Diceros bicornis minor: one gene and its partners. The protein of the gene in region 3 interacts with the protein of the main gene of each other region in a biochemical or structural test. Links are inferred from orthologs where the notes say so. Each region holds a gene or a part of one and is shown on either strand. Other genes may lie near its edges.

The links.
Region 1: the proteins of RELN (region 3) and VLDLR form a complex in vitro, tested with the Homo sapiens proteins (6 studies listed by BioGRID). The link is inferred for Diceros bicornis minor from reciprocal best matches to the Homo sapiens genes RELN and VLDLR.
Region 2: the proteins of RELN (region 3) and LRP8 form a complex in vitro, tested with the Homo sapiens proteins (7 studies listed by BioGRID). The link is inferred for Diceros bicornis minor from reciprocal best matches to the Homo sapiens genes RELN and LRP8.

Annotation. Positions count from the first base shown.
Region 1 is NC_080761.1:26,933,018-26,936,760, reverse strand, and holds the start of VLDLR (very low-density lipoprotein receptor), read right to left. Parts: upstream 2,459-3,743; 5' UTR 2,286-2,458; coding exon 2,204-2,285; intron 1-2,203. UniProt on the Homo sapiens protein: Multifunctional cell surface receptor that binds VLDL and transports it into cells by endocytosis and therefore plays an important role in energy metabolism.
Region 2 is NC_080752.1:15,653,182-15,656,924, forward strand, and holds the start of LRP8 (low-density lipoprotein receptor-related protein 8), read right to left. Parts: upstream 2,287-3,743; 5' UTR 2,166-2,286; coding exon 2,054-2,165; intron 1,290-2,053; coding exon 1,170-1,289; intron 1-1,169. UniProt on the Homo sapiens protein: Cell surface receptor for Reelin (RELN) and apolipoprotein E (apoE)-containing ligands. LRP8 participates in transmitting the extracellular Reelin signal to intracellular signaling processes, by binding to DAB1 on its cytoplasmic tail.
Region 3 is NC_080742.1:14,031,855-14,035,597, reverse strand, and holds the start of RELN (reelin), read right to left. Parts: upstream 2,248-3,743; 5' UTR 2,105-2,247; coding exon 1,879-2,104; intron 1-1,878. UniProt on the Homo sapiens protein: Extracellular matrix serine protease secreted by pioneer neurons that plays a role in layering of neurons in the cerebral cortex and cerebellum by coordinating cell positioning during neurodevelopment.

The DNA of each region.
Region 1 (3,743 bases), on a different chromosome or scaffold from region 3:
GTATCAGGAGAGGAGTTGGAGGTTGGGGAGAAGGGGCCACTGTAGAAGACCAGGGCCAGAAAGTCAGCCCACGTGCCCTGGAGCCTTGAACCTCAGTCAAGAGCCAGTCTGAGTTGGCTTAGGGTCAATATTGCCTCAGCCAACCCCCAATTCCCTCCACTTTAGAAGGATGTGCCTCCTTTCCTTTGAAGAATTTAAGTCTTGCATGGGCTTCTATTTTCCACTGTTCATGGCATGTCACACATTTCATATGTGACCTAGGGGGCCAAAAGGGATCCTCACCTACCTAATGCAAGGTGAACATATGGCTTCAACTAACTCATTTCAACAGTTTAGGTGCATTCCTAGCATTCTATAGGATAATGTTACCCTCCAATGGAAAGTTATGTTCAATTAAAAGAGTATGAAAAGAACATGCAGCAAAAATGAATCTTTTCTCCCACCTTCCTGGCCAGTTAGTAGTTTCTGGTGTATCTTAGTCTTTTGAAATGTTATGAAAAGTATAATGCAAGTCATAGTACTATTCTGAGAAATCGTTTAATAAGTTAGTATTGCTCATCCATTAACGATTAATGTTCCAGTCTGAAAACTTGTAGGCAGGGCTTTTCCAGGTTCTTAGGTTTGTTACACATCAGAGGCCATCTTCACGATACACACGTCTTTTTCAAGGCGTCCAGGCAGAGAAAGGCATTTGAGAGTACAGTCGGTCGGAGGCTGGTCCGGTGTTTTACGTTCGAGTAAAGATAACACTTCACCGGCTGCTAAGTGGCAAGTCGGTGGAGACACGTGATCAACCTAAACGTGATCGGGCGGCCAGCCAATCGCAGAGGGCAGAAAAGCCCGTCCCAGCTTCACACGCTCGGGACAGTCGGAACCAAAGGGCAGGGGGCATTGGAGGCTGAAAACCCCCAAGGGTTGCGGGAGAGGCTGTTTCACCACACACTTGAAAGTTCGCTCTCAGTTCAGGGGACACGTGACTGCAGGCGGGCGGGCCTCCTAAGCCGGCAACAGGAGCTAGGGACTCAGGAACAGGTACTTAAGACGGGGGCCGCTTTCTGCCCCAGTTCCCTAGAGCTGGAGAGCAAGTCCCTGGGTGTCATGTCAAGATCACTTCAGGGACCCGCCAGGACTCTGACCGAATCCTCTTACAAGGGCGTCCTGTCGCCTGCCCGGGAAAGTTGTGCGGCCCCAAGCGGGAGAGTGGCTGAGGACAAGGCTCCCAGGCCCAGCGCAGCAGACCCTGGGGACCGGACAGTAGTCACCACCGCCTCCCAACAAGCCAGAGCCACACACCAGCTCTCGCGCTGCTCCCTTTGATCTATTGTTTAGAATGAAGGCTAATTACAGTCACTAGATTAGGACTCAATTTCTCTCGAGGAAATCTCACCGGGAACGAGGATCAGCAAACTAACCTGATTAAAGTCTTCGTTCCACTCCCCTCCCCCGTTCAGCTATACGAAGACGAGCTTGGTTGTAAACCCGAGAGGTTTACCAACGCAGCCCGAGGGGTGGAAAGAGGAGAGGGGAGAAACACCTAGAGGGGAGTCTTATTTCAAGCCTCACTCGCCCTCTAACCTGCACTCCAGAATGACGGCTCGGCGCCCGGCGAGTCGCAGTCCGGGCGCGCAGGCTGCGCACTTCTCGCGGCTCCGCGGAGCCTCCCGGCTGCCGCCCACAGCCGCGGGGGACTCCCTGCCCCGGCCGGCGCTCCGCGTCCCCGGAGGCGCCCACCCTCTTCCAACGTCCACTCCCACCCTCTCTGAAATCCGAGGAGCGTGCCCGGGGCTGCCGCGCACGTCTTGGCCCGGCCCGGCCCTCTGCCTCCTTCCTAACACTCCGCCTGGCAGACGAGACAGAACCATTGTTCAATGGCTCAGAAGCCCACATTCCCCAGTCCCTGCCAAGCGGGATGAAAAACGAGGCAAAGCAGTGGCTTTGGGGAAGGGAGTGTAAGAGAATGAAGACTAGTTCAGGCAAGGCTTTAGGACACCCCAAACCTCGCTGTCCCCCAAGCCCGGCTCCCCGTAGTCGCAGCGCTGACAGTCAGCTCAGAGGCGCCACCAGGGTGGGGAGCGAAAGAAGGCGAGGAGAGCGGAGAGGCGCCTCCTAGGAGGGGGGTGGGCAAAAGGAACCCCGCGCCTCGGGGCCCCCTGGTACCCCGGCTGGGTCCGAACAGCCCGCGGAGGGACGCGTTGTCACTCACCGGCTCCGGTGGCGCCGATCTCCCGGGACGCCCAGCACAGCGCGAGCAGCAGCCAGAGCGTCCAGCGCGCGGACGTGCCCATGGTGCCCGCCTGGATGGTGGTGGTGCCGCCGCCGCCGCCGCCGCCGCCGCCGCTCGCTCGCTCCGCACAACAAGTTACCAGCCCTTCGGAAAGGAGGAAGGAGGTGGGGGCAGGGAGGGAGGAGGGGGGAGGGGAAGGAGGAGGGGAAGGAGTTAGAAGGGGGAAAGGGAGCGGGGAAGAAGAGGTTCCCCCCCTCCCCTACAACTTGCACAATCTCCTCCCCACCAGCCAACCCACCCACCCACCTCCCGGGGCTGCAGCAGCAGTGCAAGCCGAGCCTGCGGGCGGAAAATAATGCAGGCGCTGCAGAGGAGAGGAGGGAAGAGGAGGGGAGGGGAGGGAGAGGGGGTGGGGAGCCGAGAGCAGAGGAGAAGACAGAGGAGAGAGGAGCCGGCCGCGGAGCACCCACACTGGCGGCTGCTGGAGCGCGGGGTGAGGAGCAAGGAGGGGGCAGGAGGGGGAGTGGTCAGCGGGGAGCAGGGGAGCGGCGGCTTCAGCCCTCCTTTCGCCTCTACGCGCTCCTTTTATAAGCTCGGGGCAGCCAGGTGTCTGCGCCGGGTGTGTGTGTGTGCCAGTGTGAGCGTGCGCGTGTTGAGTGGCCGTGGCCGTGGCCGCCGCTGCCACCCGGACTGCTCCGGGGGCCCCGCTGCTCCGCGCGTCCGCCCGGGGCTCACGGGGGCCCGGGGCGGCCTCTGGTTGGCTCGCGCGCCGCCCTCGCCTCCAATCCCCGGTGTTTGCCCTAATTTCCTGATCCAGGGAACCTGCCGCCGCAGCAGCTGTGCGCTCCCTACAGTCATTACTGTACCTCCCGGCCGCCGCCAACAGTAAATGCAGCAGCGGCGGCAGCAGCAGTTAACGCTGATGCAACTATTGCTGCTCTTGCCACCGCCTTCCCACTAGTGGGGCTTGCAGCCCGGGGGACTTGTCGCTTCCAGGGGCAACAAACATCTCTCTACCACCCTCCCCTGCGCCCCAGAGAGGCTGGTATTGTGAGGCTGGTAGGTAGCGTCTTCCTCGGGCCTCCCCTCTCCAGCTGAAAGTGACGAAGAGGAGGGGGTCTAAACGTTTGGTCTGCTGTCATGTGGGGTTCGGGATGCCTGTCTCCATCGCACGCTGGGATGCCATTTTGCTAAAAATTAAGTGTGCCTTTAAGTGAGTGAGTGTGTGTGTGAGAGAGAGAGAGACAGAGACAGAGCGAGAGAGCGAGAGAGCGCGCGCGCGGTTGTGGCTTGTCCTCTCTAATAGAAGGGGACTAAAATAACCCAGTCTGAGATGAGGAGGAGGGAAATTGCTAGCGCAGCTCTGCATTCTCTCATCAACGATTATAGTTAATTGCTAATTGCACAAAATGATAGTTTGAGGGCCTGTAATTAAAAGCTTAACCTTTTCTTGTTTTGGGGAGGGGGACCCGGCAGGTTTATTCTTCTTGATATGCTTTTACTACAAGGCTTAAGGATA
Region 2 (3,743 bases), on a different chromosome or scaffold from region 3:
GCTGACTGGCAAACCCAGAAAAAAACCTCGAGGACTCCACAGACAATGCCTGTCCAGATACCCGCCCCACTCCCCGCACTGTGTGGAGCTGTGGGTCTGCCCCCGCCCCCCGTAGACCCTGTGTTCCCCGGCCTGCAGGTGCGCTGTTCCCCAAAGTGCCCCAGCGCCCGGCACACAGCGTGCGCTCAGGGACCAGGAATGAATGACTGCCTGCGTCCTGTTTTTCTGTTCCTGGAACTACACTCCTTCCACGGCGACAACTGCCCATTAACTGCACCCTGTCCCACAGACATCCACGACGGCGCACCCAAAGAAAGAACTCCCAAGGCGGTCACACCCGCGTGTACAAACATCACACCCAGCCGAGGCGGCCCGCACACGGGCGGGGGTTCACGCGCGGCCTCGGGATCCCGGGGCCCCTTCCAGGAAACAAACTCTTCCTCCTGGCCCCCTCCTTCCTGGTCTGCCCCATGACTCATGCCCGAGCAGGGCGGGCAGGAGAGCGCGGTCGGCTAACCAGGGTGGCACAAAAAGGTCTTCACGGTGACTATGCAGAAAAGCAGAGGGCCTCGCCGGCACCTACTTCCCGGGGGATGCGCGCGGGGGTGCGGCCGGGGCGGGGCCCCTGCGCCCAGGGTGCCGGAAACCTGCACGCACGCCCGCTCCACGATTGGCCGCTCCGGCCACGGGGGCCTATGGGGTGGTCCTCGTCCAGCCAATCAGGGGCCCCGGGGAGCCCATTCATTCACAGACCGAGCAGGGAAAGGAGTGCCGCGAGGCCCGGAGCTGCGTGGAACTTTGAAGCAGGCGTGCGTTCGGTGGGGCCGAGGCAGGAGTCCCGGAGGGCCCGACCGCAGAAAGCTAGACGCGTGCAGGGACCGCCGAGTCCCCGCCCACAGTTCCGACCCTGCCTGCCGGGCGTGGCGCGCCCTTCTCCCGGGCCACGCCGCCCCGCGCTCCGCCTCCAGCCCCATTAGGACACGCCGGCCGCCCAGCTCCCGCCGTGTCGCTAAGAGCCATTCAGCCCCGAGGGAGGCGGCGCCCAGTTGGCTTCCTGGCTGCGGGCTCCGGCGATGAGGTCCACGCATCTGGCCCGGCGGCGGCTGCAGCCACGTGCGCACTGAGCCTGGCGCCCCCCACCGTTCCCTCCCTCCCGGCCGGCCACTCACGGCAGTCGTCCTCGTCGCTGTTGTCCGAGCAGTCGTCGTCCTCGTCGCATCTCCACACGGAGGGGATGCAGCGCTCGTTCCGGCACCGGAACTGGTTCTCTTCGCACTCCTTGACCGGCCCTGCGCGGGGGAGAGCGGGCGTGAGCCGGATCCGCGCGGGCCATGCAGTCCTGGCCGCGGGGAGGGATCTACTAGGATGAAGGAAAGGGGGGGATGCTGGAGCCAAGGGCCCCAGGGGCCTCGGGCACCCTCGATCCGGAAGGAGGGCAGGATGGTGGGGGTTCCTGGGATGGCGGGCTGCTCCATGGTAGGAGACTAGGCACACACCGTCGGTGTCACACGACTTAGGTATACCTCCCATTCAGACACACTCACCCGCACACTCGGCCCACAGTCAGAGATCCACGCAGACACAGCGCACAGGGAGCCCCGAACACGCCAGGACACCCACAGTGGGCGCTGCGGGCACATCCCCCTCGCACACAGCCCCTCTTTCAAGGCGACACGCAGGGGTCCCCGGAAACGCATTGTCAGGCAGGGAAGTCGCTAGGCTCCGCTCACCGCCGCCGCGGAGCGCGCGTGTCAAATAAACCTCAACGGCGAGAATCACACAGCCCACCCGAAACCATCAATAACCACCCCCCGCAAAGTTCCCGGCAGGCCAGGCCCCCACTGCGCCCATCCCCCGCGAGCAGGTGCCGGAGGGCAGAGCCCACGACGCAGGAGCCGCGGGGGGTCGAGGGCAAACGAAGAGATGGCTGGGTCCCGAGGAGCCTATCCACCCGGGCGCCCCGACCAGGCCTGGGCTCGGGGCCTCGCCGCCCCCCGCCCCCTGCCCTTCGGCCCCCGGGCCGCGCTTTGTTGGCGGCTCCGGCCGCACGCACCTTGGCCGCCGCGCAGTGGATCCGCCGCCGCCGCCGCGAGATGCTGGAGCCGCAGCAGCAGCAGCAGCAGCAGCGCCAGCGGCCGGAGCGCGCCCCGCTCGGGGCGGCCCATGGCGGGCCCCGGGCTCCGGCCGCCGCGCCCCACGCACCCGGTGCCGCCCCCGCCGCCGCGCCTCAGCCCGCCGAGTCCTCGCCGCGGCGCCGGGGCTGCCGCTGCCCCCGCCGCCGCCGCCGCCGCCGCCGCTGCCGCCCGCCCCGGCTCCTCGGCTGCATTTCAAGCAGGTTCCGTGACGCTCGGCGGCGGGGCGGGCTCAGGCTGGGCGCGCGGCCCCGGCCCTGGGCGGCCGCCGCCAGCGCGCGCGCCCCTCCCGCCGCCGCCTCCGCCCCACGCCCCTCCCGCCGCCGCCGCCTCTGCTGCCTCCCTCACGTCCTTGGTCCTCTCCTTCCTCAGCAGGCGCTTGGTGACCCTGCTCTGGGCCCGCCCGCGTGCTGGGCGCCGCAGACGCTGGGATGAGCCAGGCGAGGCCCCTGCCACCCAAAGATAGCAGACAGTCCAGAGGAAGCAGCACAGGCTGCCTGGAGGAGGTGACAGGCTTATAGGAGGCTGAGGGATGCCTAGGAGTGAACCTGGGCGGGTGGGGAGATGATGTTCCCCGGTGCACAGGCCTGTGCAGTGTGCACGTGGAGCAGGAGTGGTGATAGATAGGGGTTGGGGTACCCGGATGTGTGTGATCGAGAAGGTGGGGGAGCAGGGCGGGACCTCTGCACCCCTCACTGGCTACAACCCCATATTACACATCTGTGTAGCTGGTTAATGCAGCCATGTGCATCTGTGCATGTTACACACTCATGTGACCACGGCCAAGGATGTGAGGCAGGTGGCTTGGGCCTGGCCCACAGACTTTATTCACCCATCCTTATTCGGTACTCTCCACGGGGCCAGGCAGAGGGGCAGACAAGCAGGGGACCAGCAGGGACAACATGTTAGTTCTTGCTGTGATGGAGAGGGCAGGACCGTGGGGCACCACAGAAGGGATTCGTCATCCCTGCCAGTAGCGGACACACACCCAGGGCCTCTGGCTACCTCTGCTGCCTCTGCATGAATGAGAAGCCCCCTCTTCTGGAAGGTAGCAGCCCTGCCTCACTTATGCCAGGGTGCAGAGTGTAGAGGGCAGACCTGGGACTAGATTTTAGGTGCCTGCTGATAATCGAGGCCCAACCCACATAACCTTTTTTGGACAAAGAGGTTTGAGAGCATTGGCAGCTAACAGAGGCAGGCTTGCAGGTGCCTGGGCCCAGTGTAGGTCAGCTCTCCCCCACCCTGTTGCTCCCTCACCTCTATGGCAGAGGGGCAGGAAAGGGGGCTTCAGGAGCTGTTAGCCCCAGGCCTGGAAGCCACTCTGTCTCATTAGCAGCCTCCTGAGCTCTATTACTTCCCACAAAGGGCAGCCCCCTCGACAATGGCCATGGCCACCCCACGGGAGAGAGGTGCAGACCTCAGAGAGTGCGGCAGCTGCTCCTGCCATTACCACCTTCTATCCTTTGTTCATTCGGTTCTCCAACAAGGCCAGCCCTGCTCTGTGCCAACCCTGTCGTGGGCCTAGAGTACCAACGTAAATCAGACCTGCTACCAGCCCCAGTGAGGTCCCTGACTGGCCAGGAGACACACCATCAACAGGCAGACAGTGAA
Region 3 (3,743 bases):
CTTTTCTGGTGGTAGAAAAGAGGTAGAAATTAAGACTTTCCCCGCAATGTCCAACTTGAAGTATTACACTTTACTCTTACTCTAGATCATCCACTCCTTTTCAGACTTAGGGATGTGATTATGGCCAGTCTTAGGATGACTTATATTTGCTAGCTTTATAGCAAAAGCAAAGGCTATGTCATATTTTGGTATTTTTAAGTTTTCTATGCTGGCACCTTACAAAGAATGTGGAAAACAGAAAAAAAAATAAGGCTTTGTATTATCACATGGTCTTCCATCACAATCCGACAATCACACCTTTTAGCCCAGCTGTGACTCAGTTACCTACCACCCTCCCTTAGAGCTAATAACAGGCAGGCACTCTTGCTAAGGGTCAGTCCGAGTGACAGGCTCAATCAAGCAGTCTTTGGGCTGGGTTGCCATCATATTGGCTGGTCCTCCCACTTACAGATTCTCATGACCTCAGAAAAACACCAGATTGTTCTTGGGAAGAGAATGTGGTAAGTGCTTTTATTAAAGAAGGGACTAGTTACAGAAAATTAATTTTCCAAAGTCTAAAATTCCACTGAATTAGACTCCCGCTGCACGGACAAGGCTGCCACCATGCCACAAGAAAGTTGTAAAAGCACTATTTTAAACCTCTAGAAAGCATTATTTAGGCTAAACCTTTTACAGCAGATATGAAAGGTTTTAAAAAAAAAATGGAAAACTTAAGGATTCTTATCATTTTCATACGCATGTTTATCTGAAATGCCAGCTGCTCCGTGGATTATCTCCTGCCATGTTAATAACTGTTAGCCTATAAGAGATCGAACCTATAATATGAGATTAGTAGACAATAGTTTCTATTTGGTTGGGTACAAGTATTTTTGCCTTGAAATTCTAATTAAACAGTGCTTGTCGTGGCTTAAAAGCTCCATGGAACTGAAATATTCAGAAGTTCCAGCGGAAATACAGAAAATAGTATCTTTTTATTTTCCCACACACTCAATTTACTAGCTTAAAAGATTAAAAAATACATGCACTATACAAAATTATTTTTCTTGGAGCTAAATACTATATCTTCGATAAAGTCTAATTTTGATGAAGGACTCCATAATGATCCTTTTTTAAAAGATACTTTTAAATTATAAAGGTAAATTATGAGAGGCTTCCTGCCCCTACCTGGAAATTAAAGCTGTGCAGATAAAAGACAAAGTCATTAATAAACATCACAGAGATCATTCTAAAAACAAGCAGCATGTTAAAAGTAAGAGAGGAATCAGAAGAAATATCAACTACTGACATTTTAAACGACACTTTAAAAGAACAGAGAGCTGGGAGCAGCCGCCCCACTTCGGGAGGGCTCTGTGACACCGCGAGGAAGGAGAGGAACCCCGGCCGGGGAGCGGCGGGAACTTTGCGGCAGGCGGGCGACGGCGGGGCCGCCGCGGACCGGGGCGCGTCAACCTGTCACCAGCCCGTCCGCAAAGCCCAGGACCAGCCCCAACGCCACCCAGGTCCCCTTCGGGGGCAAGTGGGAGCAGGACAAAGGTCTGGAACCCAGGTGCTGGGGTTAAGGACACAACATGTACGGACTCATTCAACGTGTCAGCTGTAGGAGCAAAACCTGAGGGGGAGAGACTCCAGCCCCCGAGAATTCTCAGGTGTTTCCCACAAGAACCGGCTCATTACGAGGAGACGCGGGAGGGGAGTAGAGAATAAATCCCAACTCGCGAGCCGAGTCTCCACTAACTTTGTTCTCTCTCCCTCCACAGAGCGCAATGTCGAGGGGCAGGGTAGTTTGGGTTCTCGCTGCAACGGCCCCTTGGAGAAGGCAAAGCAGCAGCAGCTGCGCTCGCGGGCGCACCGGGCGGGCGGCGATGCCGCGGTACCTACCATGGTATTCTTGTCCGGGGACGTAGTAGGTGGGGTTGCCCGCAAGGTGCAGGGAAATGAGCACCTCACCCTGCTCCCCATCCCCTTCCAGCTCCCCGTGGTGGGTGCACAAGAAAAAGAAGGGCGAGAAGCGGGGGTAGTAGCCCGCCGCGGCGCGCGCCCTCAGCGTCGCCCCCAGCAGCAGCGCCAGGAGGCAAGTCCGCGGGGCCCAGCCGCTGCGCTCCATGCCGCCGCCGCGCGCCACGAGCGCCGCTCGCGCATTCAGTTCTGCAGCCGCCGGGACGGGGAGCCACGCGGAAGGCGGGCGAGAGGCGGCGGGCGGGAGCCGAGCGGGCTCGGGAGCGAAGCCGGCCGAGAAGTTCCGCGGGCGACGGCGGCTCCCAAAGTTTCTTGGGGCCGCGGGAGTGCGGGGCCGGGGCTGCGGGCGCCGAAGCGCGTCGTCCGCCGCCTGTGTGCGCCTCCGTCGCCTCTGCGCGACGCCCCTCGGCCAGGCCTGGGAAAGCGCCCGCCCCCCTCCACACCTTCTTAAAGCCCCGGGCACCGCGTCCCCCCCGCCGCCGCCACACGTGTCCCGGCCGCGCCCCCGCCCCGCGCGCCGCCCCGCGCGCGCCCGCCCGCCCCCGCCCTGGGGCTCGCTCGCCCGCACCTCGCGCGCCTGGGGCGCACGCCTCCCCGGGGCCAGACGTCGGAGCCCGGTGCGCACCCGGGAGGGCCGCTGCGGGTGCCAGCCGGGGCTGGGGGGTGGTCAGGGGGCGTTGTCGGAGGCCACGGGGTCTGCGAATGTACGGTGAGAAACGGAAAAGCCTCGGAGAGAGACCCTCCCGCCCGCTGTCTGCTGGAGCAGGAGAAGACTAGCCCCTTTGGCCCTCAGATGGCCTTCTTTTGCCGACAGGAGGCGCGGGGGAAGGAGAGCGGCGGCGGGACCGGCGCCGGCGCGGGTTTCTTTGTCTGCGCCCCGCGCCCCTCGGGGCTCGCCGGCTTCGGAGCCCGAGCGGCCTGCACTCGTCTGGGGATCGGCCCGCGGCCCCGAACCGCGGAGGGCGCCTGCGCTCCCCTCCCATCCAGGCCTCGCGTCCCGCCTGCCACCCCCCGCCCCGCTCCGCACCCCAGCGACAGAGCCTCATCTGTAGCTGGATTTAAAATGAGATTAAGCGAAAGTGGAATTGGCAGCTTCGAGTGGTGCCTGAAAATGGTGATTTGTGCTGCTCGGGTGGGGGGAATTGTGTGGCAGGAAGGACCGGCGGAGCTGAGACCCGACAGGCGCTCTTCGCTGGACTGTTCTATTAGTCATTGCTGCTGGGTTCTTCAGGCGGAGATGGTTGTAATTTTTTAAATCAGTGTTTGTTTCCCTTAAATGTCAGCTACGACCAATGTCCCTGAAATGGGGGGATGGGAAAACGTTCTGGGGAGATGCTGGCAGCGGTGATTGAAGCGGGTCGTAATGAGCTGCTGCACAGGAGGCTGCAGGCAAGCGAAATAAAAAGCACGTTTTTAACCGAGGACGGCTGGCAGGAGCCCTGCGGCTTCCGGCGATGGGGGAACAGGGTTGCCAGGTTTTAATGCCTCTCCCCACCCACCTTTGGCTTGCCACCAAACCCAGATAAACTCGCACGTACAGAAATGAGTATAAAATGGGAAGGGATGATATCTTTGCCTGCATTTTGGGGTGGGGTGGGGAGGGGAGGGGGAAAGGCAGGGTCCCAAGGGAGACCTCTGTAGTCACTTCGTTGCAAAAGGAAGAGATTGTTTTTCTTCCTCTTACCTGGGCCAAGTTCAGACAGGTACAAAGGGCCCACTTCTAGCTGTTTTATGGTTTCCCTTCCTTCAAAATCCCCAAAGGCTCAACTGCTGTATATATTTGATGT